Linked DNA regions of Mus musculus. The protein of the gene in region 1 interacts with the protein of each later gene in a biochemical or structural test. Links are inferred from orthologs where the notes say so. Each region holds a gene or a part of one and is shown in the gene's direction. Other genes may lie near its edges. The genes, in order: Tln1, Itgb3, Itgb1 and Ret.

Region 1 (7,600 bases):
TGTCTGTATAACGTATATGTATAATGGGTGTGCCTAGTGCCCACATAGGCTAGAAGAGGGTGTCAGATCTCCTCGGATTGTAAGCTGCCATGTGGGAGCTGGGACTTGAACTCATGCCCCATGGAAAAGCAGAAAGTACTCTAAACCACGGAATCATCTTTCCAGTCTCTAATTAATTTTAAAAATTCCACTTAAGCTAGGTGTGGTTGTACATGCCTGTAGTATCAGCACTTGGGAGGCAGAAGAAGGAAGTCAGGATTTCAAGACCATCCTTGGCTAGGGTAGTTTTTGAGGACAGACTGAGCTACATAAGACCATGTCTCAAAACTAACAACAACAACATCTACCCTTATCCTAAAGCAACATCAATCTTCTTATAATTTCCATTCATTTGATTTTCCTAGAGTCTCTAAAGTGATATAGAATATATCCTTATCTTAAGGTACTTTCAACTTTTTTTCTTTCAGAAACTAAAACTGAATAAAGTTAACTCTTACATTCTCTGATAATGCCTGTCAAACTTGGACACTAGCCAAGAGTGACATCATACACTTGTAATCTAGTCCGAGGGAGTTAGAAGCAGGAGAATCAGGAATTCAAAGGCATTCTTTCCCTACTACATAGTTTGAGGCCAGCCCAGCCTGGGTTTACAAGACCCTGCCTTAACAACAAGGGCCAGAGGGCGTGGCTCAGCAGTGAGCATTGATGAACATTCATGAGGTACTGTACTCCAATCCCAGTGGGTAGGGGAATTATGGCATGCTCTGGCCAGTGTAAAGGAAGACAAGACAGTTACTATCCTAGGGACAGAACCACTATTGATAATTTCCAAGTTCCGTTTCCTTTCCTCCCAATATATTGCTCATTCATCTTGTAATAGTGATAGAGGGATAGGGGATGGTTTCTCACATAGCCCAAGCTTGCCTGAACTCAACATGAAGCTAAGTCTGTCCGTTAATGCTGATCCACCTGCCCCAAATAAGTAAATATCTACATATCAGAAGTAAGACAATATTAAAAAGGCAAATGACATTAAAAAAATTTGCCACAAAAACTAGATGCAGTATTCTTGTAATCCCAGCACGTGGGAAGTGACTTTGAACTTGTGAAGACCTTCCTGCTCCTGCCTCCAGAGTGCTAGGGTTATAGAGGGGTGCACCATCATGTCCAGCTTTGACGATTGTTGATGTTGTTAGACTGAGTCAGCCTCTCAAGCATTTCTACCACTGAGTATGATTCGAGGTCCCAAGATAACAACGGAAGCTATCAAGGCCCTTCACTTTCAAGGCTCTGTACTAAAGTTACATTTAAAACATTATCTTTTGACGTGGGTGTGTGTTTGGAGATGAGAGAACTTGTAGGAGTTGGTTTGTCCTTTTGCAAGTGATTGATATGAAACAAACTGAGCTTGCCTACTTGGGTTACCAACCCCCTCCAGCCTTTGCTCTACCAACAGGAGCCTTACCTTAGTGAGAGGAAGGGTTGAGGGCAGAGTGAGCCCCTCCTTCTCCAAGAGCTTCTTCTCTTCCTCGGTCAGTATCAGCCTAGACATCTCCTAAGGATGGAGGAAATAGTGAAGAGAGCAGAGTTGCATGGAGCTCTCAGAGCAGTATGGGGGATCTTGGCTGCTGCAAAGTGAGGTAATCCTGAAAAAAAAAATCAAGTCCAGCACCTGTTCCGCTGCTCTTTCCTCCCCTGGCAGTGGAGTCACGTGGAACCCCTCCTTTTCGAAGCTCTCAGTATCTGCAAAAGGGAAAGTAGAACCAGCTAGCCCAGTGAGCTCTCTCCTCCCCCACAACTTATCATTTCACACTCACCTAGATCTATGGAGACGTGCTCCTGTGGAAGGGAGTAGTTGTGATCATGGAGAATGGAAGAGCTGGAAGAGCCGAGAACATCCCGCGATACTGAGGGACTGAGCAGAGAGCTCAGTAAATCCTCTACCTCCCAGTCGCTCAGTTCTTGCACGGAGTTCTATCAAATTCAAAGGCCTTGATTTATTTCCGTACCTTGGGTCTCGCGGACATCCCTAGCTTCCCCCACTGGGAACACCCACCCACCCACCTCGGAAGGTGACAGCTCTAAGTCCAGCGGAGCCTTCACGTCCGGCTCAGTCGCAGCCCACAAATCTCCGCTTTCCTCTAGCAGGAAGCCCAGCAGGTCCTGATCACCGGGATCCAAAGCTAGCAGATCCTGACCACCAGGATCCATTTGGGATATCTATGGATAGAAATCCCTCCGCGCAGATCCAACCTCCGAACCTCAGGCACGACCCCTCAGTCTGTCCAGTCGGCTCGACTTAACCTCCGTCACTCCGGGACAAGGGCCTAGCTGTCACTCTAAACCGCACCCGTCTCTCAGCTTCTGTATTCCTCAGCTTCCAACACAACGGAAGTGGTGCACATAGCCCCGTGGAATCCTGGGACTTGGAGTTCTCTCCAACTCGGAAGTGGCTCCTGGGCTGCGCCACGTCCCGGGGGCTATGCAAATTATGGGGACGTCCTTTCAAGCTTCCCACGCCCCAGGGCGGGGATTCTGAGGATCCTTGTCCGCCTTCGCCTCGAGCTATTAAAAAAAAAAACTTAAGCGTTTAAAAGGGAACTCCAGCTTAGTTCGGGCGTTCTCTCCAGAGCTCTGCACGCTCGCTTCCTGCTGGGGAGGGGCGGCCAGGCTTCGCGGGCGCCCGAGCATCGAGAACTACGGCCAGAGCAGCTTCCTGCAGTCTCCGCTACCATAGAGCGCGGGCCCAGGGCGCCGCCGGCGGGTGGGGGACGTTTCCAGGACGGAAGTGGCCGAGAGTGTGTCGAAGGGAGGGCGAGGCCGGAGCCCCAAAAGCGACCGGGAGAAGGAGCGGGTAGCGGGCCCAGGGCGGGGCGCAGAGCCGGGCAGCGCAGGTAGGCCGGACGGGCTGGGCCGAGCTTCTAGGTGGGGCTGCGGGATCGGGCCAGCCCGGGAAGCGGCGGGCGGGGCCCCCAATCCTCCTGCATATCCTGTGTCTGGTTAGGGAGGTCAGGGTCCAGTATGTTTCGGTTTGGATTTGGAATTAAGCTGGCCTTGTTGCGAGAAGCAGGCCCTTTCGCGGGGGTAGACAGTTCTCTGTCTCGGCTAGGTTTGGGGACGGGTAGAAATGGGGTGGCAGTGAGGCACTGGGTGGCAGTGAGGCACTGGGCGGGGATGGGCTTTGGTATTAGCCGATAGTGAGTAAGTGGTTAGGAAAACTTGGGGTGAGTTTGGGTTAGGTGCCGTCGCGTTTAGGAAGCAAGGATCCCTTTAGAAGTTAAGAAGGTGAACTACATTCTAAACATTTGCTGCACGAGTCAAGTCTGTTTCGCATATGTGACATTTAAACTGAGGTCATTATTTTCTGCAATGACCAGCATTAAGTCAGAGTACAGGATCGGGTTAAGGATCAACAGGAATTGGCTTAGATGCCCGTTTTAGGGATTAAAGGCCGGTGTCATGGTCAGTATTAAGAATAAACAGTGAAAAGGTTAATTAAGAACCAAGTTACAAATGAGCTTTAGAACTGCAGGGTGGGGTGGGAGGGAGTATTTAGGGTTAAATTTGGGGGATTTGGGCCTAAAAATAAAAGCCAGATTAGTATGGGTGTCTTCTGGGAAAGGGGTGAATGTCAATGTATAGGGAAATAGGAAATAAAGTCAGCATTAATGTTAGGAATTGGTGATAGCGTTAGGGGTTGAGGCTGCAGCTACAGCTGAGCTGGTAAAATGTAAGAAGTTGGCAGGAAGTAGCTACCTTTGTTTTGTAGTGAGTTCTCTTATTCCTGTGCAGTTACAGAGGCCTCTTTTACCCAAAGAAGTGCTAGAGCTCTGGACCTCAGCTAGAAGTGCCAGGACTCTGCTTTCTCTAGTCTACTGCCTAAGCACAAGGCTTCCAGAGGCCACCACCACTGGGAGACAGGGATTTCTGGGCTGTGATGTTTACGAGGTGGGAGGTGGGAAATGGAAAGAGACCCAGGAGTCAGACAAGGTCCTAAGTGAGGATGGGGAATAGGAAGCCTGTGACTGAGGGGAAGCTGACCAAGGGAACGCTGTCGACTAAATGATGACAGTTTGACTCGAGCCTCCCTCATTCTCCACACACTGCCTTCTCTCTGTCTCTTTGCCCTCCCTGGTCCCACATTGCATACCTTTACAGTTCCTTACAGATACTGTCGTGGTCTTTAGCTCGTCTCCTGCTGTTCATCTGAACCATTTCCCACCCCCACACCCCTGTCTCTGTCTCTTGATCCACACATCCTACTTTACTTCATGTCCCTCAAACCTGAGCTTTCCCAACATCGGAGAGCACTTTCTCATACTTGCATACCACCTGGTCAGCTGCTGAACCCCCCCCCCCCCCGCCACCGGGCTCTTCCCATGTGTACCCCCTGGTTTCTGAGCCTCCTTTTACTTCTAGGTCCAGTTGTGGATCCCCTTCCCCCACTCCCCGACAGAAAAGAGGAAATGATACCCAAAGAGGAAACTTGGTCTTACTGATCCCACGCCCAGCCAGGCCACTGACCACACCCCCATGTCACTCCCAGCTTGACCCTGCCAGTGACCACAACACTGTCCCCTCCCCATGCTGCCTCTCCTTCCAACCCAGGGTTGCCTAGCCGCTGTCAGTGTTCTCTCACTCTCTCCCCACTAGCCCAATTTAGCAGCTTACCACATCCCTAGCTCTTCTGGAGCTCCTGACCCGGCCTCCGGCCTCCCTGTCATCCCCGGTTTAGTCAGCATCCATGGACTCATGCTTTTCCCTCCCCACCTGCTCAGTGGCTCATCATGTGTCTGTTCCCTACCATCACGCTCCTGGTCTCTTTTTCTACACCCTGTGATCCCCAGCCACAGCCTAATACTGTCAGTAACCCCACCTCTGTGCCCCTGCTACAGATACTTCCTATCGCATCATTTACCACCCAGCGTCATTCCCACATCCTGACTTAGTCCCCTCTCCTTCCCTGGTTTATTAAACTGAAGCTGTCTAGTCAGTAAATGGGTACTGGTCATAGGAAGCTGATTTTGGCTTCAGTTTTCTGAGTCCTGTATGTCAGTTCTACTTTTCTTCTGAATGGCAACTTCCTCTCCATACAGCTTTAACTCTGGCTTTATTATCGCTTATACTAATACAGTCTCCTCCTAACTTGGCCCCAGAGTTGCCCGAAAACCCAGTGCTGGGGATGTCCCTGTTTAAAGCTTCCTTGGCCTCCTGTTCCCCTCCAGTCAGTTAGGTTCCTCATACTGCTCTCTCCGCTTTTGCCTTTCCATCTTAACCCTGACGTCCCCACCGCTGCTCCCTTGCAGGTGCCCCGTGCTCCAGCCAGCTTGCCTCCTCACTTTCCTGGGCATTCCTCCGAGATCTCCTGCCTCTCAACCTTTGCTAGTGCTATTCTCTGTGCCTGGGACGATACCTTTGACTCATCTTCGACTGACCTAATGGAGAGAGCTTGGGCTTTGGAGGCAGAGAGACCTGGGTTCGGATTTTGGCTTCACAGCTTATTATTTGGACAAGTCCTTTGGAAAAGTATTTAACATTCTGGAGCCCCAGCTTCCTAACCTGTAAAAATGGAGATGATAACACCTACCTTGCAGGGTTGTTGTAAGGATTAACTGAAATTATATATGTATCTAATGCAATTAACATATAGTCAATAAATGACACGTCGCTGTAACTTCTTATTATCTTCATATTTTTAAAATTCTAACTTCAGATGATAGCTTCCTTGGATCCTTCGCTCCCTTTCCCTAGCCTCCGGGGCTCCCTTTTCTGGGTGAACACGTTTGGCTCCTTCCACAGCCTGCCTCTGTTGTAACTCTGCATTTAGCTTTTCCCCACCCCTGGGAGGCTGGCAGCCTGCGGAAAGCAAGGTCTAGTCTTACTCATCGAGCTTCCTGGCCTTCCCACCATGGGCCTTAGAGAATGCATGGAGGGAAAAGCATACAGTGAAGGAGAGAGGCTGGGAGCCGGCACTGGGGCTGGTGCACTGTGGGGAAGCTGTGTGCACACGTGCTGCCTACAACAGATAGATCCGTATAGCAACAGCACAGGCAGTTTGGCGGGAGGGAGTCCTGTGTGTAAGCTAAGGGGCCTTGGTGAAGAGTGAGAATACATGTATGACTGTGAAGACAGACCTTGTGCTGGAGGAGGTCAGATCCAGCCTCTCAGCTGCCCGGTCCAGCCTGAAAGGAGCTTCCAGCAGCCCAAGGCCGGATATGTCAGTCTCACCCACAAGCCCCTCCCCCTCCCAGCGGTTGAGGACTCAGAGGCCAAATTTGGTAACAGACTGCATGTTATTCCCCCAACCCTCTTACATTCTGACTCTGTCTTCAGCTTTCTTTCTCCCTTTGTCCCTTTTAACTCCCTGTCTCTGTAGTTCGCCCCTGTAGGTACCTGCACTGATGATATTCTCCATGTACCCCAAAATTCCTTAGCCCTAGTATACTTGCATTCCATTCCTTGCTGGGATTTGACCTCCTGTCCTCCACACCCCCCCTCCAATTGCCCAAGGCCTTTGGAATGCATCTCAGGAATGTATTGAGGGAGGAGGAGTTCTCTGGGAAGGGGACATGGAGTGGGTGTTGTTGCTCTTCATAAAGCCTGATAAAAGGGGACAGAGTTCTCAGAGCAAGACACGAAGCAGGTAGCTTCTGCTCCTAGTTCCTGGGCTCTTGTTCTTTGCCACTGCTAGTCCCGACTCAGTGTCCAGTTCCTTCACTCTCAATTAATTGTGTAGATAGCTACTCAGCCTGGAGGAGGGCAGGCATGACTCAACTCTCTTATCAGGATCTTACCAGAGGAAGAAGTGGGTATCCATATGTCCGGAGGAAATGGGGGCGGAGGGGCACACATGCAGTTTCAGCTGAGGCTGGAGTCCTTCAGTACTGCTCTGGTTCCGTGGACTGGTGCTTCTCTGACCAGCCCTCACTCCACAGCCAGGTCTGTCCACTGCTGGGAAGGTTCCCTAGGGGGAAGGAAGGGAGAGAGCTGGGACTGAGGGGGCCGGGAGGTCCTCTCATTTGGGGTAAAAATGGAGAACAAGCCATGCTGCTTTTCTCTGTAATCCTGAACTGTGTGTATGGCCAGAAATTTCCTCCTGGTCATTGATCCACCTTTCCCAATCCCTTTTTCCTCTGCCCCTTCCTAATTTCCCTGGTTCTCAAATGCCTTTTGTATTGTGATGCCTGCCTGTTCCCTGGTTTTTCCCCTGGGTCCTGCTTACCCCCTTGGAGTAGCCAGTTGTCAGGTAGGGAAGGGGGTGGGGGCTGCATCCCTCTCTTTTTAGTTAAGAGGCACCTAGTCCAGTACCACACTGGGTCACATCATCAGCTGCTGGGCAGACCTGTTGTCTTGGGCCTGTGTACCACCAGCTGCTCATGGTGTCTGAAAGGTTGGGGAAATGGGCTTGGCTTTGCAAATGCCGAGCTACGCTGAAAGCACCATCTGGAACCTAGTTAAGGTGGGGGCAATCTGGGGAGGCCATGCATGATGAAGAGTGCAAGAGACTGCAGTAAGGCCTGAGTCTCAGTGTCTGCACTGTTGGTCTTGCTTGTCTTGAAACTTTCTCCTCTCCAACAAGTATTGGCTAGGTCATTTCTGA
Region 2 (6,962 bases), on another chromosome or scaffold:
GCGTGTGGTTGTGTGTATGTGTGGAGATCTATTTTGTGTGTCTTCCTTTCTCTCTACCTTATTTCTTGAGACTCAGGGTCTCTCACTGAACCTGGAGCTCATCAAGATGGCTAACGTCGCTGGTCAGCAAGTCCCAGGGCTCCTCCTGCCTCTGCCTCCCTAGCTCTGGGTTTGCAGGCATGTGTCACCATACCCAGGTCTCTCTTTGTGTGTGAGTGTGTGTGTGTGTGAGTGTGTGTGTGTGTGTGTGTGAGTGTGAGTGTGTGTGTGTGTGTGTGTGTGTGTGTGTGTGTGTGTGTGTGTGTTTAACACGGGTGCTGGGGATTGAGCTCAGGTTTCATTCTTGTGCTGCAAACACTTTCCTGACTGGACATCTCCCCAGCCCCTTCCTACCCATTCCTTTCCACCGTAACCACCTTAAGTGTCCAGGTGAGTGGCGTTGTCTATGTATAATGTGAAGCCCTCACTGTCATCTGTCCCCATAACTGAATTTCATTATGCAAAATTAGAGCTTTGGGCTCATTAAACAACTCTTCCTCCTCCTCCTCCTTTTCCTCAGCCCCTGGCAGCCACAATCTCCCTTTGCGTCTCTATGGTTTTGATTGCTGTCTGTAGCCAAGGGTGACTTTTCCCCTTCATGATACAGCTGAAGGAAGTGAGCTGTGTGTCATGCTCTGGTACCCAGTCAGTGGTGACAATGCCTGGAGGGGGTGGGGGTGTCAGTCTCAGCCAGTCTCAGCCAGCTCATTCTTGGGCTCTTATTCTTTACCCTCCACCATATCTGCTCTGTCATCTTTGTCTTGGATAAAGAAGGGAGGCAGGAAACACACAATCATGGACCTTATAAAACAGGCAGCATGTAACACAGCATTGATAAATGGTTTTAACCTTGACCCACAGAAAGAAATACCTCATGGACTATTACTCATTATAGGTGCCATCTTCCAGTAAATAAAAGATTCCCCAAATAATGAAACTTTTATTTATATACTTGGATATTTTCTATTCTATTTAATTATGTTTTACTTAGTAAACTTGATTTTGAGACTCACAAAGTAATCATATTTTACAATTTGGAAAATACTTGTTTAGCAGGCTTCTTACTTAATGGTCCCTCTTCTCTGTTGTCAATCCATGAACAGACACTAAGTCAGTCTATTCTCCCTTCCTGTGCGTGCCCCTGAGGATTAACCATGGAAGGACCATGACAATTCTTTTATGCTAGATTAGCTCCAAAGAGCCAGAGAAGCTCTTGGCCAGGGGGAGGTGACTTACCAGGCAGGAGGCACAGCCGCCCTAGCTCTGATGTTGACCTTTCCCTCGGGCTCTTCTCTTCATAGACTTTGTCTCAGGGCTCACCCCGATGTAACCTGAAGGAGAACCTGCTGAAGGACAATTGTGCTCCAGAGTCTATTGAGTTCCCAGTCAGTGAGGCCCAGATCCTGGAGGCTAGGCCACTCAGCAGCAAGGGCTCTGGAAGCAGCGCCCAGATCACTCAAGTCAGCCCTCAGAGGATTGCCCTTCGACTACGGCCAGGTGAGCGTGGGTGTCGGTGTGGGTGTGGGATCATCTTGGGGAGAGACCTGAAACCAGTGGGCACAGGACATCAACTGTTGAAGGTCTGAGCGGGAACTCCTCCCGGGAGGGGCAGCACAGGATAGGACTGGGGTGGAAAGAGAAGGGGATGGGGAGTGGGGGTGTGTGGGCAGGAGAATGGAAGACAATGAAAGGGGTCAGGATTGCAGTCAGAAAATCTGAGTATGAACCCCCACCCTACAACACTGCTCCTTGTGGCTCTGCTTCCCCCTGATGTGTGCTATCTAGTTGATAGCTCTGATGGAGGACCAGATAAGCAGAAGGATGAGAAAGGAAGTTGTAAGCCTCTTTCCCTCAGGGCACAGGAACTGTGTGGGAGCAGGCAAAGTAGGGACAGAAAAGGGAATGCTATTAGGCTAAGGGGAGCTTTTTGGAGTATCTAGACTTGACTTGACTGAATCAATAAGAGCTTGAGAGAGATCCACTCTATGCAAAGAGTCCTTTGGGATGTGGAGAGAACACGGTGCTATTTACTTTAGAGACATTACCTCTGGTCAGTCAGGAACTCATATGTAGCCTAGGCTAGCCTTGACTTTGCAGTAGTCTCTCTGCTTCTGACTCGTGCATGCTGGGATGACAGGCACGCACCACTATATCCAGCATAGTGCCTGTGCTTTACAGCGTCTGAACTGAAGCAACTGACAGTTGTATGACTTAGAGTATAGACCCTGGGGACCCAGAGGGTCCCACACATGGGGATTTAGAGATGGTGGGAAATCATAGAGTGGAAAAGAAGAGGTTCAAGATGCTGCAAGAGGGCAGGAGGTGTGGAGTGTGTGTGTGTGTGTGTGTGTGTGTGTGTGTGTGTGTGTGTGTGTGTGTATGTGGTGGGGAGAGGGGAGGCCACCAACACTTTCAAGCATAATTTGATCAAGCAGTTATTAACCCTCCATGGAGGCCTGCTCGTGTATTTGATCCTAGAAGAAGAGGAGGCAGGAAAAAAACCCTAACACCCTTCTGCCTTCCAGATGATTCGAAGATCTTCTCACTTCAAGTGCGGCAGGTGGAGGATTACCCCGTGGACATCTACTACTTGATGGACCTGTCTTTCTCCATGAAGGATGATCTGTCCAGCATCCAGACCCTGGGTACCAAGTTGGCCTCTCAGATGCGCAAGCTTACTAGCAACCTTCGGATTGGCTTTGGGGCCTTCGTGGACAAGCCTGTATCGCCGTACATGTACATCTCCCCACCACAGGCAATCAAAAACCCCTGTTACAAGTAAGGACTTTCTCCACAAGCCAGTGAAACACCTCCCCCTTGATCAAAGGCTGGTCCAAGTCCTGGCTCCCAGTTTTAGCTCCAGGATTTTCCTTTACAAGTTTATGTTTTTAATTTCTATTTCTATGCGTGTGTTTGGGCCTGTTCGCATGCATGTGTGCCAGGTGACCGTGGAGGCCAGAAGAGGGTGTCAGATCCCTTGGGACAGGGGTTGCAGGTGGATGTGAGATGGGAACCAAATTCTGTTGTTCTTCTGGGAAGAGCATCAAGTGCTTTTACCATTGAGCCACCTCTCTAGCATCTTTCAGGTCATTTTGTTGACTGCTTTATGCAAGAGCCATAGCATTTGCAACTTGTTCCCTGCCTGGGAGATGGGCCTACTATCTGGAGTATTGTGTCAATAGGGCTCATAGCTGCCAGGGGTCTTCTACAGAAGTGCCACCAGCTTTTCGGCTTTGTCACAAATGAGCAGATGTGAGGGGGAGGGGCAAGCTCAAAAGCAGAGAGAAGTCTAGAAGAATAAGAATGTAATTGTGATTCCAGAGGAATTAGTTCTGTGGTCCCTATTATAGTCACCAAGGGCACAAATTATACAAAGTTAGAGTGCAAGAAAATTAAATCACTTTATTGAACTCTTTAACAGTATATAAATGGCTACATTCTCTTTATCCACCTCCTTTATAGAAATACATTTTTTAGAAAATTTATTGTTTTATGTGTATCAGTGTTGCCTGCATGCTTGCTTGTGTACCATGTGTGTGCCTGGTGCTGCCAGAGGCCAGAAGAAGGTATTGAATGCCCTGGAACTGGAGTTATAGATGGCTGTGAGCCACCAGGTGGTTGCTGAAATTTAACCTGGGTCCTAGGTCCCCTGGAAGATCACCCATCCATCCATCTCTCTAGCCCCTCACCTCTTTTTTTTTTTTTTTTTTTTTTTTGAGACAGACAGAGAATTTTGCTCTGTAGCCTAGGCTGGCCTCACCCTCCCACGTGCTGTTTACAGACAGAAGCCAACCCACTGGGCCATCTCTCCAGCCCTAGTAATGATAGTTTTAGATCACTACTCTACATAGATTTACACTCTTCAACAAGTAAGCCATTCAATAGTAAACTGCAATGGGTTGAATGTGAAGTGGGCCCCACAGGCTCACACGTCTGAACACTTGGTCCCCAGGAGGTTCTGGGGTCAAAGGAGCTCTAGGAATTGTACATAGGGTCTTATGTTTGCTGGGCGAGTGCTCTACCTCTGAACTGCGCCTCCAGCCCTGGGCCTCTGTTGGCTTATGTTTAGTTACTTTCCCTGCTGCTATGATCAAACACTTGGTAGAAGCAACTTAAGAGAGGAAAGGTATATATTGGCTCACGTCTCCGAGTCTGTATTCTATCATGACAGGTAAGGCATGGAGTGTGTAAAGTGGCTTGGTCTGTGGTGGCAGGAACCTGTGGCAGCTGCTTGCTACACACCACCAGGGCTGAACAGAGAGCTGACCTGGAACAATCCATCCTTGCACATATAACCCTATGTATGCCAGCGAGGATCTGTGCTAAAGGTTTTATAGCCTCCCTCAAACTGTGCCGCCCCTGGGGACCAAGTGTCCAGACGCGTGAGCCTGTGGCATCCATCTCACATTCAAACCATAGCAGTTTACTAGTGAATGGTTTACTTGACAAAGACTGTAAATCTATGTACAGTAGTGATTTAAAACTATGATTACTACTGCTGGAGAGATGGCACAGTGGTTAAGGATGCCTCCCATTCTTCCAGAGGATCCAACAGAGTCCAGTTCCAGTACCCAGGTCAGACGGTTCTTTGTTGTTGTTGTTGTTTGTTTGTTTGTTTGTTTGTTTTTGAGACAGGGTTTCTCCGTGTAGCCCTGGCTGATCCTGGAACTCACTCTGTAGACCAGGCTGGCCTCGAACTCAGAAATCCACCTGCCTCTGCCTACCAAGTGCTGGGATTAAAGGCGTGCATCACCACTGCCCAGCTGGTCAGACAGTTCTTGAGCCAAGCCTCTAGCTCCAACTCTAGGGGATCTAATGCTGCCTTCTGGCCTCCGTGGGCACCTGCATACACCCACTCTCTCTGTCTCTGCTCTCTTTTTTCTCTCCCCTCCACAATTAAAAATAAAGTATATTAAAATGATGATTTCTAGGCTGACAAAGCATAACTTTACTTCTTAACTTTATAAAAAAATTCTGTGGGACAGTTCTAAACTTCTGCCTGGGCTCCATGTTCCCCCAGAAAAGACATCAGTTAGTCGGGGAGAGCAGAGCATGATCTGTAAATTTACTGGCTATCTGCTTGATTGTTGCAGTAAAACAGTGTTAATGATAACAGCCATGATAGCTTGAGCCCAACTCTTGTAGAACCGCTTTATTTGGTCCCACGACAGCTCTCAGGGGAGAAGCACTATGATGGCTCACTATAGATCCTGCCACTGGGCTACACCTCCAGCTCTGACTTCGATTAGCTTATGTATTAATTGCATATCTTGTTGCTGTGACCAAACCCTTGATGGAATACAGGTTCAGAGAGTCTAACGGAGAGCCCATGCTTGGTAAATGGGGATCCAGAGTTTAATCTTCCTGTCTGGCTTAATGGCTTCCTTTCTTGCCCTTTTGGCTATCTGGGGGTATGGTTATGATGCCACAGGTAGCTTGAAGGGCTTTGGAGTCTAGATTGTCTCAGTAGTTGTGATTCCGTGAGGCATCTGAGTGAGCTGTGTGGTAGAGCGTTTATCTGGTATGCATGAGACTTTGGGTTCAATCCTTAGCACCAACATGCACTTGTGTATGCACACACACAGAGACAGACACAGAGATTCACAGACACACTCACACAGACACACACACACAGACACACACAGAGGCACAGAGACACACAGATACAGGTACACACACAGAGACACACAGAGACTCAGAGACACACAGACACACATACAGAGACACAGACACACAGAGAGAGACACACACACACACACACACACACACAGACACAGAGATTCATAGACACAGAGAGACACACAGACACAGACACAGACAGACACACACAGAGACACACAGACACAGGTACACACAGAGATACACAGACACACAGAGACTCAGAGACACACAGATACACACAGACACACATTCAGAGACACAGAGACACACACACCCACAGACACAGAGAAAGACACACACACACACACACAGAGACAGAGACAGAGACACAGAAACAGAGACACACACAGAGACACACAGAAACACACACACACACACAGAATGAGAGAATGAGAACTAATATGATACGGCCTGGCCTAGGTATGCCACTGGCCATATCTGTCCCTCTCTCTTTTCCTGACCCCCGTATTGCCCTTCCATCATGGCTTCTGCTAAGATGACCTCTCGTCTCCCTCCAGTATGAAGAATGCCTGCTTGCCCATGTTTGGCTACAAACACGTGCTGACGCTAACCGACCAGGTGTCCCGCTTCAATGAAGAAGTGAAGAAACAGAGCGTGTCCCGTAATCGAGATGCCCCAGAGGGCGGCTTTGACGCCATCATGCAGGCTACAGTATGTGATGTGAGTTCGAAAGGCAAGGGCTGCCAGGTGGAGCTGGCACAAATGAAAATGGGGAAGGAAACAGTTCACTTGGGGGTTTCCAGTATGATGGGGGATGGGAACCACACGGGACTTTGCACAGTATGTGTAGTAAGTCTGTCTTTATATCCATGCCGAGGCCACAGCAAACACCGCTTTAAACCACAGTAGCTCCAGATCTCTCTGAGGGAGAACATCTTCCCACAGTTTCTGGAACTATTTCAGAGTCAAGCCTGGGTCAACTTGACCTCAACAAAGTGGGCAGATGTTAGGGTGGGATTTCTTCTGGTTGAGGCCAGCTCTGTGGATGCAGATGGGTCCCGGTCACTGGAGGAGTTATGTGTGGAGTTGAAGGAGGCCTGCTTTAGCATCATGAACTAATCAATGATGTGATGGCTCCCTTATGGGCCAGATTGGGAAGCTCTAGTTTATGCTCCAAGGCTTGGGGCTGAGGTCGGTCTCCAGGACAACTTGTCCAGCTTTTCAAGCTATGCCGGTTCTGGGGTCTTAGTTTTGTATTGACGACATAGCTGAAGTTGTGGTGTTTTTTATTTATTTATTTA
Region 3 (7,433 bases), on another chromosome or scaffold:
TTTTTGTTCGAGACAGTTCTCCAAGGACTTTTCTCTTGCTATTCTAAAAGTTACTCTGAATAGCTCATCTTTTGCAGAACATAAGCCCAGTCTTTTATTTTACATATCAGTCCAGTCATTTATTCCAGGTTTCCTTTTGATTATCCTATGAATCAACATTCTGAGACCCCAGCCCCTTAATTCTTAGAAGATAGTAAGCACACATTTTCTTTTAACGTTGTGAATGAATCTAGAGATCTGCCTATCTCTGTTAAGCACAGATGATAAGCTAGCTGGGTGGGACCCAACCATGAATTTTCTACCATGCTTGGGCCTAACCTTGTTCTGTCTTAGGCTGAACCTGAACTCAGGAATCTGCCTGCCTTTGCATTTTTCTGACAAGCTGGTTCATTAATGCAGCTGCCTTTGTTCCTTTACATTCTTAAAGCTCCTCATATAATTCATATTGCATTCTTATTTTTTGCATAGTTGAGAAATTATATATTTTCAAACTAATGTTTTTAGAGTTCTTTCCCACAGCCTTAAGGGCTGTCCCGAAGGTCCTAGCATTTACCATTTTGCTAAGACATTAACCACACCTTCACCTCCCAGACTACTGCTGTCTCTGAATATCATGGAGTCATTCCTCAAAGGAAGGACATAAAAATACGTACATTATTATACAAATAAGCCTTATGCCACAGCAGCTCTGTTTGCCCTGTCCCAGGGGCAGGAGCCATGTCATTCTATCCCCACCAAGGTCATGTCAGACTCAGGAACCTATTTTTATTTTGCTAATTTGGATACACAGACCAAGTGGAAAATTTGTTTTCCTTACAAGAAAATAGAGTGCTCCTCATCTTCTCTTAATAGAGATGAAGACATGGAAACACCCCGTGCATACATTGCAAGCAAGATCACATTTGCATTTCCCCTATACCCTGGTCCAAGATGGAGGGTTAGTCTACCATGATGGTTGAATTTGAGATTCTGGTGCTAGAACCAATAATGGACCCCAAGATGAGGATTGTGTGTATAGTGACTAAAGGAAGATTATTTCTATCTGGTACATGGAGAACAAGAATAATGTAGATAATGATTGTTTATGACTAGAGTCTACCAAGGAAGAAAACTTGTGGTTTGGAAAAACTGGCACATCTCATCTCTGACTGCCTCAAATATGAACTGTCTGGCATTCCAAATTCTACTACTGCTCAAACATTGTAATACATGAGCTGGATAGAAAGATAGCAAAGATATTGAGGAGAAACAAAACATGGCTGAGAGACCCACTCAGGCTGAAAAATGTATCCAAGCTTGAACTTGCTTACCTTCATGGACTCAGACTCAGTCTGTGGCTGGCAGTGGAAATCCTGACGATTGAAAGAAAATGCTCTAGCACAAAGAGAAATGCAAACAAAGAAGGATCCTGGGCAAGACAGGAATTTTTCCCTCCCTCCCTCCCTCCCTCCCTCCCTCCCTCCCTCCCTCCCTCCCTCCCTCCCTCCCTCCCTTTCCTTCAACTCGATCTATAGATGAGGCTGGCTTCAAACTGAGAGATTCTCCTGCCTCTGAGTCCTCCCAAGTGCTGGGATAAAAAAATGTAGGACAGGGGCTTTTGATGGCCCACTTGACTGTTTCTTTTTTTAAGATTTATTTATTATTATATGTAAGTACACTGTAGCTATTTTCAGACACCAGAAGAGGGCATCGGATCTCATTACGGATGGTTGTGAACCACCATGTGGTTGCTGGGATTTGAACTTAGGACCTTCAGAAGAGCAGTCAGTGCTCTTAACTGCTGAGCCCTCTCTCCAGCCCCCTACTTGATTGTTTCCTATACTTCACTCTTTTTCACGGAAAGAATTCTATTTCTACCCTTGGGTTGTTACTAAATAGCTGCAATAGCTATTGCTGGGGAGAATAACCAACAGCACAGTAAATGCTACAGTGGAGAAAGGCTTACATTTTGAAAAAGCAAGAGGCAGCTTATATTTTCTGCCAAGGTAGAACTTCAATCCTCCAGGCACAGGGTAAATGGCTGTGGGTGTAATTGGACCTCATGCTTCTGCCACTACAACTTTCTTGTTGAGATGGACTGTACCGTGTAACTGTGAGCTAAAATAAATTCTTTCATTAAGTTGCTTTGTCAGTTATTGTGCCCCAGTAGTGAGACAAGTAATTAGAACAATGTTCATGCATTTTACATAGCTAAGTAACTGCCCATCTCTTAACATTTTTATGAATTCAAGTATAGCTACATTTCTGAGCAATTATGGAACTTATTAATTTCTATTTTCTTCAAAGTTTATGACTTGTACATGTAAATTGGTATTCCTCTGACAGCTTAGGTTGAGTCCTGGGAGAGCAGCACAAACACTATTTTGTGTGTGTGTGTGTGTGTGTGTGTGTGTGTGTGTCGATCTTGTGGTAGATTGTTCCCTCCTCAAGTCACACGAATGAAAGCTCACACAGTTCAGGCCAAGCATTGATAAAGTATGTTTATAAAGCTGTTTCTTGTGCAGAGACTGGGCTAATGGTTTAACTCAAAGTGGTAAGATCAATACCTTTAAAGGCAACGAACGTCACTGAGCTTTACCGCTGGGCTGCCGATGCAGACGTAGCCTTTTAAGTTCAGTCATTTACTAATTAGAAAAACGATGCTCATTTATTAAAATTTTAGTTAAACAATACATTTGATTTGCTCATGGGCAACATATAACTTTTCCATAGTGATTAATCTTTTTTTTTTTTTTTGGCATCCCAGTTTTACTCTTCCAGAACAGAAACACTATTTCTTGGGTTCATAAACCCGGCAATGAAAGCTGTCTTTACGGCTGGGTGCCCTGCTCCTCCTGGCAGCCCACACTCTTCGGGTAAGCTGATGGCACCTGCTGTCCCACAGCTTTCAGTATGACGAGGCAAGTCCAAGTTTCAAGCTTCTCATTTAGATTTTGAGACTGGCTACTTTTCAATTCTTTTTCCAGAAAAGAGAAAGCAAGTGCGCAAACATAACATTTTTCCTTTTTGTGCTTGGCCACCCAGATAGAAAATTGAGCAAATGCGGCGCCAAGGAGCGCAGGGTGGCACAGCAAGGGTGGAGCGGGAGTCTGCAATCTTAGGGTGACGGGGCGGGTCCGAGGGCTGCCTGCAGAACACCCGATCCTTCTTGTCCCCTCAGCCCACAGAGAGGTCTGGCTCGGGATCCCAGGGACCGGACACAGACTGCGGCTGGGCTTTCCAGCCGGGCGGCCGGCGCCCTCGGTGGTTCAGCGCGGTACCCCAGGCAGAAAGGGCCGAACGACCGAGCTCCTTTGTCTGCACCCTGCCCCACCTTCCTTCTTCCTGCCGCCTCCCCCTCCTTTTCAGGCGCGGCTGACGCGGCGCGGAGGAATGCGTTTCCGGAGGGAGAGAAAAGCCGGGCAGCCCGGGAGAAAGAGCTTCGCGGCGGGGGCGGGGCGGGGCGGCTTCCTGAGGGACAGGCGGGCCGAGTCTCCGCCCACTCGCTGAAGAGCCGCCAGACCCGCGGAGCGGCCGAGGCCCGCCGACGCCACCCGAGACCAACCGAGAAGCCGAGGCCCGCCGACGCCGGCCCGAGACCCTCCGAAAGGCCGAGGTCCGCCGACACCGACCCGAGACCCTCCGAGAGGCGGAACGCGGCGGAGCCCGGGCCGCCCGCGTGTCGGGCGGACGCTGCGAAAAGGTAAGGCCGCGGGCGTGTGGACGTGCGGGCGTGGGCTCCGGGCAACTCGGGCTAACCAGGCGTGTCTCTGCGGCCTGGGCCGGGTGGAGTCCGGTTTTAGGGACCGCGGCGCTCGGCCTCGTTCGGCTGCAGCTCCCCGCCCCGCCCGGCCTTGTCCTAAGGGAGGGTCGCGAGCCCAGTCTGTCACACCGGGGCGTGGCGGGGTTCAAGGGTGGGTACGACAGGGATCTGGGTGCCGCTGACCTTAGAGGGGTTCGGTCCGTCGGTGCCCAGCGGGCGCCTTTCCCCAGCGCGGCGCGGGACCCTGGGAACCAGGCCGCAGCGCCCGTGGTCCGCGAGGCGGTGCCCACCCGGGGCCTCGTGGAGTGTGGCTGCCTACCCTTTCTCGTGCCTCCTAGTGACAGGCTGGGTTAATGACCGCGCTGATCCCGAATGCCACAGTGAATTTGAACTTTTAATTTGAAACCTAGTAATAACTAGTAATAAATTATCCTATTTCCGTTTCCTCATCTTTAAAAGAGAAAAGGAGTTCCTACACTAATTATAGTAATTCTTGTGACACGAGGGTCAGACCCAGCTCCCAGCATGTAAACTCCCAGCATGTACTGACCTCACTGCAGAACCCTGATCCTGATCCATGGTGGTATTGGGACTGCCTATCTCATTTTACAAAGGAAGAAACTGAGGTGCAGGAGTTTTAAGTAATTTGGAGAGTTCATGGGCTCACCTCCAGAGCCTATATTTGAACTTTAAGTAACCTAACTAATGTAAAATAAAGAAGGCATTTTGTGTGTGTGTGTGTATGTATATGTATGGCAAGAGGAATCCAGGGCAATGCCTCAAAAAAAAAAAAAAAAAAAAAAAAAAAGAAAAGAAAAAAAAAGAAAAGAAAAAAAAGAAAAGGACACAGTAGGTAGTGAAATGTAAAACCACAACTTAGACAACAATGCTTCATATACATTAATTACTTTTCATTGCTTTTGCTATGTTAAAAAAAATCTACAAACTTCTCAGAATGTTTTGGTAGTATTAGGAAAGTCTCCTGGATATGCCATTCCACTTGGGTATGAAGAGGATAGTATGACTTAAGGTTTTTATTTTTTAATGGTGGTTGTTGCTTGCATAGGACAGAAATAAATGTTAGATGAATTCTGATTAGATTTCTTTTTTAAATCGCACACAGCCATTACAGTAGGTCATATCCTAGATAACCTGTAGAATGGACTAAGAAATTTTAGTTTAGAGTTACCTCTTGCATACTGATGGACATCAAGGCCCGAAGGGAAGGACTGACATCAGAATCTTAATATATGATATGATATCCAAGTTTATGAGGAATTTTGATTCATTCAACCATGGTTAATGATCAGAAATGATAGAATGACAAATAGAAAACGGATGAAACACTGGCATGTTGTATATAGGCACTTGGGGAGAGTAGAAGATACTAGAACTCTAGTTTTTATGTGAGTAGAAAGCAGTTTCTAGCTTATCTGTTGAATTTACAGGCCTGCAGTTGAAGAATCTGTTGTTGAGGATATGAAGTTCAGTATTAAGATGGTTTCTTTAATTTTAATTTATAATTATTTGCATGTGGGAATGTATGCCGAGCATAGGTGGAGGTTAGAGGATACATTTGTGAGGTTTCTTCTTTTCTTCCACTATCATGTGGATTTCAGGGATTGAATTCAGGTTGCCCAGCTTGGGTAAGCATTTTCATGTGTTGAGCCATCTCACTGTTTGAGGTTGTTTCCTTTTTTTAAGGCTTTGATTTGTTTATTTTATGTGGGTGCGTATTTGCCTGCTTGTAAGTTTGCCCTGTGTGTATGCCGCTCCAGTGGAGGCCAGAAGAGAGGGGTCAAATCTCCTGGAACAGTACCCACAAGTGGCTGTCAGCTGGTATGTGGGCACTAGCAATAGAACTCAGGTCCTCTGGAAGAGCATGTCTTCCCCTACCCCCTCCCACCAGGTTGTTTGTAATCTTCAGTATTGTACATGAAAATTACAGAATCAACAAAGTTGAAAAGTAATCAGTTGTCTTTAATTTTCTGGTCAGCCTAATTTGAATCTGTTCTGAATCAACATCAATGAAATGAAAATATAGTTCTGTATTGATTAACTCCATGAACACTGCTCACCTCTCCTCACTCTTTATTACTAGGAAAATTAATTAGCTTGACGGATGTTTGTCCAGAATGCTTTCTGCCTAATGTAGTTCCTTTACTCTCTGGTGTTTTTCTAACAGAGCCCCACCCCCTGGTTTACATGTAGAGAGGGAGGTGTATATCATAGTTTGTTGTCTGGAGAAAATAATTTTATTAGTGTTCCGTGAGTGTATGAGTACTAGTATTCTTACCTGTGTTACCAGAGTGATGAGATAAACATGTTGACACTAGTAAAAGTTTCAGAGGATTGTTTTTTTTTTCCTCAGAATTTAAATGTAAAAGTTTTTGAAGTGTAATAAGCCCAGCTGACTTGAAGATTCATTATGGGGTGAATATGATAAAATAAGCTTTTACCATTTGTTTGCAAATTAGTGAGTTTCAGAGTTGATTAGTGTTTTCTATTATAGTACTGTTTATTGGGACTTTGGTTATAGGTTTTCAGACTTTTTTGTTTATCATATGTCAAATAGTTGGCAATCAGGAATGTGAGGATAAAGGGGGAAAAGATAGTAATTGAGTCTTCTGGATCAGATCTAAAGTAGTAGCAGTATACAGTCTCAGAAATCAGAAGTGTACTGAGGTTAAAGGACAGTCCACACAATTCTGACTGCTTAGAAATTGACGTAGATAGGTGAGGGCAGTGTATCTCACTTTCAGGAGCTGTGTGATAAAGAATAAACTACTTCGTTAATTTTCACAGTTTGAAAACTTTATTTTTCTGTGTGTGGCTTTAGAAGATAAAGATAATTATCTTTACCAATGTGTCTAGCATGCATATTGTAAATTTCTCAGGGTTTGAAAACTTTATTTTTGGTGTGTGGCTTTCAGAAGATAAGAATAATTATCTTTACAAATATGTCTAGCATGTATATTGTAAATTTTTCAGAGTTTGAAAACTTTATTTTTGGTGTGTGGCTTTAGAAGATAAGAATAATTATCTTTACCCGTATGTCTAGCATATATGTCATCATAAAATGTATACGTGAGAAAAGAGGCTCCTTCAAATATATATCATATTAGAGCAGACATACATGCCCATATATATCTGTATGCACGCAAATGCATGTACATATTAAATATTACAAATATAAATTTATATAAACAAGCATATATATATATATATATATATATATATATATATGCATACATACATATCTCTTACTTGTAGGAGCATTTTACCAAGGCTTCAAAATAACAGGTTTCTAACCCCAGGGTTATGTAAAATAACTTAATAGTCTGTAAGGAGTATAAGCATTTTATTCTACTTATTTTTTTTTTTTTTTTTTTTGTTTTTTCGAGACAGGGTTTCTCTGTGTAGCCCTGGCTGTCCTGGAACTCACTCTGTAGAACAGGCTGGCCTCGAACTCAGAAATCCACCTGCCTCTACCTCCCGAGTGCTGGGATTAAAGTGTGCCACCATGCCCGGCTTTTGAGTATAAGCATTTTATAAGAGCATTCTCTGTTTATAGCTTTTAAAAGTTCAACGTATTTATCATGTATAATGTTATTGCATTGCTATAAAATATATGTTTTAATTTATAAATAATGGGTGCATGGCCAATTTTTTTTCTAGTGATAGAGATGAA
Region 4 (6,962 bases), on another chromosome or scaffold:
AAGTAGAAGCAGTCATTAAAAGTCTTCCAACCCCTCCCCCAAAAAGAAACCCCAGGCCAGTTGATTTTAGCACATAATTCTAGCAAACTTTCAAAGATTTAATGCCAATACTCTTCAAATTATTCTACAAAATATAAGCAGAATGAACATTATCCAATTTATTTTAATGAGGCCACAATTACTCTGATACCTAACGTACATAAAGACCCAACAGAGAAAGAAAACTTCAGACCAATTTCCCTTATGAGCATAGGTGCAAAGTTTTTCAATAAAATGCTTGCAAACTAAATCCAAGAACACATCAAAAAGAATATCCACAGTGATAAGTAAGTTTCATCCCAGAAATCCAGGGATAGTTCCAACATGGGTAAATGGGTAAATGTAATGTACCATTTAGACAAACCTAAAGGCAAAAACCACATGAACATCTCATTAGATGTAGAAAAGGCCTTTGACAAAATTCCAATACTTCTTAATGATAAAAGTCCTGAAGAGATTAGAGATATACGGGACATACCTTGACACAGAGTAAAGGCAATTTTACAGCAAGCCAAAAACAACTTAAATAGAAACAGGATGCATTTTCACTAAATCAGGAGCAAGACAAGGTTATCAACTACCTATTCAGTACAGCACTTGAAGTCTTAGCTAGAGCAATAAGACAACTGAAGGAGAAAAGAAGGATACAGGTGGGAAAGGAAGAAGTCAATGTATCTATTTGCAAATGATATAATACTAAACATAAGTGACCCAAAAAAGTTGGACCAGAAAACTCTTTACATCTGATAAACACTTTCAGCAAAGTAGTTTGATACAAAATTAACTTTAAAAAGTCAGTAGCTCTTTTATATACAAATAACAAATGGGCTAAGAAAGAAATCAGGGACACACTTTTCACAACAGCCTAAATAATATAAAATATCTCAGGATAACTTCAGCAAAGCAGGTACACGATGTAAACTTTAAGACATTGAAGAAAAAAATCTGAAGAAGATATCAGAAAATGGAAATATCTCCATGCTCATGGATTGGTAGTATGAATAGTGTGAAAATGGCCATCCTGCTAAAAGATTGAATCTACCATTCCGTCTCTATCAAAATAACTGCACGGCTCTTCACAGATCTTGAAAGGACAATTTTTAATCTCATATGGAAACACACACACACAAAAAAAATCCAAGATAGTTAAAACAATCCTGATCAATAGAAGAACTATGGGACATATCACAATCCCTTATTTCAAGTTATATTACAAAGCTAAGTTAAAAAAAAAAAAACAGTATGGTGTTGACACAGAAATAGGCATGTTGATCAGTGGAATCAAATTGAAGACCCAGACCTATAGACCCCTGTTTTTTGATAAAGAACCCAGAAATACACTGGGAAAAGACAACACCTTCAACAAATAGTGCTAGTCAAACTGGATGACTGCCTGAAGGAGAATAGATCCACATTTATCACCCTGCACAAAACTCGGCTCCAAAAGCATCAAAGAACTCAAAATAAAATGGATACATAAAATGGATATACTGAATCTGATAAAGAAAGTGAACAACCTCAAATACATTGACACAGTTTTGTTGTTTTTTGAGAAAATCTTCCAAGATTTGTGGGTTCAAGGTTGTCTTGAGCAGAAGTAACAATAGATGCCAAAATCGCGGTGTTGAGAAACAGCCAACCCAACACTGGAATCGTCTACATAGTTAAGTGGTACAATATTAAGTGGCAAGCATCTTGCGTTTGTTGTACATGGGAGCTGAGGTCCCTGCATCTGTATCTGTTCCCTGTAACAGAAGAGGTCCTGGGAGGGAAACTGAAAAGCATCCATTGGGTTAAACCTACCACTTGGCACACTATGTTTCTACAGGAATACTGTGACCAGGAGTGCTTTCAGGCCAGGACTATACAGAGAAGCCATTTCCCCAGCCCTCTGCTCTTGGTTGGATTAAGGAACCTCAGTGCCTTACCTCAGTGTTACCCTCCAGGATGGAGGCTGTGGTCTTAACAGAGAGGCCAAGAAACAGTACAGGATAGGGGTACAACCAGCACCTCTGCCCCATGTGCATTAAGGGTCCCTGGGTATGTTTAGGAATGGCCCAGGGTCAAGGATAACTGGCCATCTCTTTCTCTCTCTTCCAGGACTACTTGGACCTGGCTGCATCCACACCTTCGGACTCACTGCTGTATGACGATGGGCTCTCAGAAGAGGAGACACCCCTGGTGGACTGTAACAATGCTCCCCTCCCGCGCTCCCTCCCTTCCACATGGATTGAAAACAAACTCTATGGTAGAATTTCACATGCATTTACTAGATTCTAGCAACGCTGTCCTCTCTGCACCATCCCAACTCTCTGTAACGCTTTTTAAAGAGTGTTTCTGATCCCACCGACACCAAAGCCTCCTCCGAACCCTTTTCTTTGTAAATATCTGACTTTGCATCTAGTTTACATACATTCAGGCATTTTGCAGCTATGTCTTTCTAAAAGGATGTGAAAATAAGTGTCATTACCACACAGCCCAGCAACTTACGATGACACAGGAGAAGCGGATTAGAGCAGAATTCTCAGGGCCCATTGGGAAGCAAATCATAGTACTGGTGACTTCGATATTTAAATTTACCTGATCTGGGGAGGGAGTCAGTTTTGCCAGGGAAAGCTGGCATCCCCAGCTATGCTATCGTTGCAAGCTGGGCTACCCCCAGGCTGCTCCTGGGCTGGTGTGTGCCTCGCGGAAGCCGACCATAATCCCACTTCCAGCTATGTGTCCACAGCCGTGCAGTGTGGGGCAGCGGGAAAACCATGTGGGCCCTGGGCAGACACCAGACTGCTGCTTTCACATCCTTTGCACCCTACCCCCATCATGATGTTGTCACTCACGAAGCCAGTGCTAAATACTGAGCCAATGCTTTCTGAAAGAACATAGTCTGTGGTGCTGTGGCCTTGCAATGGACAGTAAATACGGCTCTTGCCAAAACTCCTTCTTTGTCTTGGATTAAATACTTGAAATTTTTTTTCTGCTTCCTAATCTCCTCATTGATGCTTTTTGAAGTCTTGCAGTTTCAAGCTAAGGTAGGTTCTTTCCTGCATGCTTCCTGAGTCACAGGTCCTCACTACCTGCCTTGTGCCTACAGTGCTGCGGGGGCAGCCTGTGTGTGCCCCCTGTGGGAAAGGAAGTCTTCCTCCTCCGTGTTAGCAGGGATGACAGGTGAACAGCCCCTAGAGGGTTCCCACTACAGGAAGCCATATAGTCCAGCCATTCGCTGATGCTTTACACTGTCCTGGGAAAACAGTTGAGCATTTCACCAGATCTGTTTCAGATTTGAGACTCTAAACTCATAGGCTTTGAGATTTGGTAGCCTCTGCTAAATTACCTGTACCAGGAGCATGTAAGGTTGCCCCATGTAGAACAGTGTTTTGGAAACCTGGGATGCAAAACCATTAATGGAATTGGCACGGAAAGCGCAAGTTGGTTTAACCATCAAAGGGAGTTTTGCCAAGGCCTTACTGTCTGCACATGAAGTTTGAGTTCTTCAGTGCAGAACAAATTATCTGTTTTCATTTTTAGGCATGTCAGACCCGAACTGGCCTGGAGAGAGTCCTGTACCACTCACGAGAGCCGATGGCACTAGCACTGGGTTCCCAAGATATGCAAATGATAGTGTATATGCTAACTGGATGGTTTCACCCTCAGCGGCAAAATTAATGGACACATTTGATAGCTAACATTCCTTTGTGAACGGTAATGGACTCCCAAGGGGGAAGAAACATGCCAAGAGCATCAAGTCCACCGGCCCCTTTGTGCACATCATACTGGCCAAGACCAGCCTTAGGTGGCAGACTTGTTTTCTGTAGTTTGTTTTAGCTGGTTTCCAAATGGTTTTACTTCAAATAGCTGGTGGTCCTCCCTCCTGGTGGTCTGCCCTCCTAGCACACCTGCCCCATTGGGTGGGTGCTCTGAGTCTCTGGTTAGATCCCCTTTCCCTTTAGCATTGGGTAGCACCTCTGTTGGTCTGCTCATCACTAGCCACCACGAGCTCTGTGTCCACATGTGTGGGGTCTGCCATTCATGACTTGGATGAGAAATTGTACCTGAACTGTCTGATTTTCCTGGCTGATAAAAAACCTACCACGTCCCCCCAAAAATGTTTTAACATGAAGCACACATACAAACAACATTGATTGAAAAACCTGGCCAGAACGACCTGTCCTTGTCTAGAATGAAAGCCTAGCATAGGACTGGGTAGTTGCATCCACCCGGGTCCACTAGGGCTGGAGGGGAGAAGGGAGCCTCCGGGCTGTCCTCGGCTCAATATATGACATCCTGAATATAGATTTTTGGGTTTTTTAGCCATGTAGCCTTTTCTTAGGAAAATGTTTTGTTTCTGTCATGGTTAAATGGCTCTTAGAATTAGCACAATGGAGAGATTTGGTGTTGCCTTTGCTATATACAAGGCAACTGGAAAGAAGTGACCCCACATGACCTAGTCCCCCTGTTGAGCCCTCGGCAACATTCACGCTGCGTGACTCCGACTCACTGACCAGAACAGGGTGAAGAAGCGGGGCATTTGGAGTAGAGTTGCCTTCAGGTCCAGTATTGCTGTCATCAGAGGCCTTGAGCCACAAATTCTGCACCCCCAGCAAGCCAGTCTGCAGTACACCCTACCCACCAAAGAGTGTGCCCACCCTCTGCTTGGGGACAGGTGGGTCTGTCTTGTTTTAATCCCTGGCTTGCCAGCTCATGCCCAAAGGGAAGGACAGTTCATCTAGTTGCATTAGATGTTTCCCTGACACTGACTGAGGTGAGAGAACAAGGTTTTGGCTCTTATAGAGCTTGTGTGAAAGGCACATGGGTCAGCTCTTCCGGCCGTCCTTTATGCTGCTATGGTACGTGTTTTGGTCTCTGTTCTAACCACGACTCACGTGTAAGGTTCTTGTCTTTCTATATGGGCAGTTGTAGCCACAGACACTCAGCACTCCTCTAGGGCTTTAGGGGTGGCTCTTGGAAGTTTCTTTGGCTGTCTGTGGACTGTCACTTCCCATGAAAAGGTCACATTACCAAAACACTGCCTGGTCTTCAGACTTGAAGCACTGTGATAGGACTTTAAATAGTCATAATAAAATACTATATCTTTATGGGCATTTCACAAACACAGTAAAATTGTGACATTTTATGTGGCTGAGAATGCTCAGATAAGTATACCAGATAGAGCCTTATGGAGTGTGTGTGATATTTGTGTGCACACATAGCCAGACAGACAGGAAGATGAAAAATGCTTATTTTAACATATAATATGGCTTTAGTTTTGGGCCATTTTTTTTTCAGATACACTGTGATAAGGTTTTTTATATAAATATCTCTAGTCATGGGACCCATTTTGTTTTTTCAGATGTGTTTAATGGTAGTTTTATTAAGTGCAAAAATACGGATGAATTCAAATTATTCAACATGCCTACACGGTAAGTGTGACTTGCTAGGGCAAGTTAGCTCTCAAGGGCTGAGCTCCAAGTCTAAATAGCTGGCCCATTTGTGAGGAATTAACACTTGACTAATAACCATTGTCTGTCTGTTCCTGAGATATAAAAGCACCCATACTTGTTAAAGTACCTATACTTGTTAGCACTATCAGACAGATTTTTCATCTACATATATGCAGAAGTTACCCCTTATTAAATATTACTGAGTATTAAGTAGCTATCTGTCAGCCACTAAATTTGTAAGATCTATTTAAGAAAGGCCATTAAACCATACCGTGTTGACTTGTTTTTGTAATCAAGGTGACTAAGGAAATAATTTCAGTTGTGTAAATAAAATAAATCATAAAATGTGTCAACTTTTTCTCTCGTTTTAACTTCCTGGTGCAAAAAACCTCAGCTTGCTCATTTCAAAGTTTCTACACATAACTAAAATGTCACAGCGAATCTGTTGTAATTGTGGGAGAGCAATAATGACGAGGGAGCAATGGCTCTTGGTGGTGTCACTGGTGGGTGTCTTGTACAACAACATTCAAGTGATAAGTCAACTAACCCTGTGACTCTAGGATTTCCTCCCTGCAATTGGAGACATCCCCCTTGCAGGTGACCTTCCTTAGAACAAATAGTGGCCAGTGTCGATATCCACTGGTCTCTGGAACTCTTAGCTGTTAATTTCCTGAAACATCAGTAATCTCTCAGTTACTAAAACTTAAAAAGTGCATAGTTGTGAGTGAACATCGCAGAAGGTGGAGAGAAACCGTCGTCAGCCACTTACAAAGTGTAACATACCAGCTACTTAGTTCATTCTAGCCTCCGTCCAGGGCAGTGACAAACGTGAGTTTTTAATACCAGTCCGGTCTGTGACCACAGTGTGTGTTGAGTGCAAAGAGCCTGAGTCACTTCCAGCAACTGCCTCGCCCCTGGAGCCAAACTAGGCCATCCTGACAACCTTTGATTCCTACTACTTGAGTCTGGACCACAAAAGCTGGAAGGAAATACATGCTGAAGCTTCAGAGGTACCTCGGGGCAGGCTTTTACAGAAGCATACTGGAAACATACTGTTTCAGCAGCATAAACTCCAGAGGGTCATGTGTCTCTGTGTCTTGTTACTTGTTACTTCCCCCCTTAAGAAAGAAATACCAACTCCTATGAAAGATTCCTTCCTCTCATGTCCTGCCATGTGGCCAGTTTATTTGGGTGGAGAACTAAGTAGATCCAAGAACATACCCTAGATAAATGCTTCCTAAATAAAGGAGAAGCATACTTCCCAGTGTATAAAGTAACCATTTCTCCCTAGGCATGCAGAGTGGAGGGCAGCCATCCCTCTCCTTTAAGCATGTTCAAATAGCACAGTCAGCTTCCTCTGCCTGTAGAGGGCTGGGCAGGAAGAGCAGGGATTCTGCGCAGATTGGCCACCCTGGCCTCTACTGCCAGCCAATACAGAAGATCTTTAATTGCAGCACCTTAGCTGAACTCCATGGCTTCCCACTT

What was found.
Region 2: the proteins of Tln1 (region 1) and Itgb3 form a complex in vitro, tested with the Homo sapiens proteins (6 studies listed by BioGRID and IntAct, with this or other methods). The link is inferred for Mus musculus from reciprocal best matches to the Homo sapiens genes TLN1 and ITGB3.
Region 3: the proteins of Tln1 (region 1) and Itgb1 form a complex in vitro, tested with the Homo sapiens proteins (3 studies listed by BioGRID and IntAct, with this or other methods). The link is inferred for Mus musculus from reciprocal best matches to the Homo sapiens genes TLN1 and ITGB1.
Region 4: the proteins of Tln1 (region 1) and Ret interact in a surface display test, tested with the Homo sapiens proteins (2 studies listed by BioGRID and IntAct, with this or other methods). The link is inferred for Mus musculus from reciprocal best matches to the Homo sapiens genes TLN1 and RET.

The regions. Positions count from the first base shown.
Region 1 is NC_000070.6:43,557,424-43,565,023, reverse strand, and holds the start of Tln1 (talin-1), read left to right. Parts: upstream 1-2,440; 5' UTR 2,441-2,894; intron 2,895-6,639; exon of another isoform or gene 6,640-6,765; coding exon of another isoform or gene 6,766-6,939; intron 6,940-7,600. Other genes in the region: Creb3 (cyclic AMP-responsive element-binding protein 3), read right to left, coding at 1,466-1,555, 1,673-1,743, 1,818-1,974, 2,065-2,211. UniProt on the Homo sapiens protein: High molecular weight cytoskeletal protein concentrated at regions of cell-matrix and cell-cell contacts. Involved in connections of major cytoskeletal structures to the plasma membrane.
Region 2 is NC_000077.6:104,630,834-104,637,795, forward strand, and holds part of Itgb3 (integrin beta-3 precursor), read left to right. Parts: intron 1-1,340; coding exon 1,341-1,536; intron 1,537-2,564; coding exon 2,565-2,817; intron 2,818-6,218; coding exon 6,219-6,381; intron 6,382-6,962. UniProt on the Homo sapiens protein: Integrin alpha-V/beta-3 (ITGAV:ITGB3) is a receptor for cytotactin, fibronectin, laminin, matrix metalloproteinase-2, osteopontin, osteomodulin, prothrombin, thrombospondin, vitronectin and von Willebrand factor.
Region 3 is NC_000074.6:128,682,278-128,689,710, forward strand, and holds the start of Itgb1 (integrin beta-1 precursor), read left to right. Parts: upstream 1-3,376; 5' UTR 3,377-3,682; intron 3,683-7,433.
Region 4 is NC_000072.6:118,150,613-118,157,574, reverse strand, and holds the end of Ret (proto-oncogene tyrosine-protein kinase receptor Ret isoform c precursor), read left to right. Parts: intron 1-2,139; coding exon 2,140-2,319; 3' UTR 2,320-3,564; coding exon of another isoform or gene 3,565-3,722; 3' UTR 3,723-5,827; downstream 5,828-6,962. UniProt on the Homo sapiens protein: Receptor tyrosine-protein kinase involved in numerous cellular mechanisms including cell proliferation, neuronal navigation, cell migration, and cell differentiation in response to glia cell line-derived growth family factors (GDNF, NRTN, ARTN, PSPN and GDF15).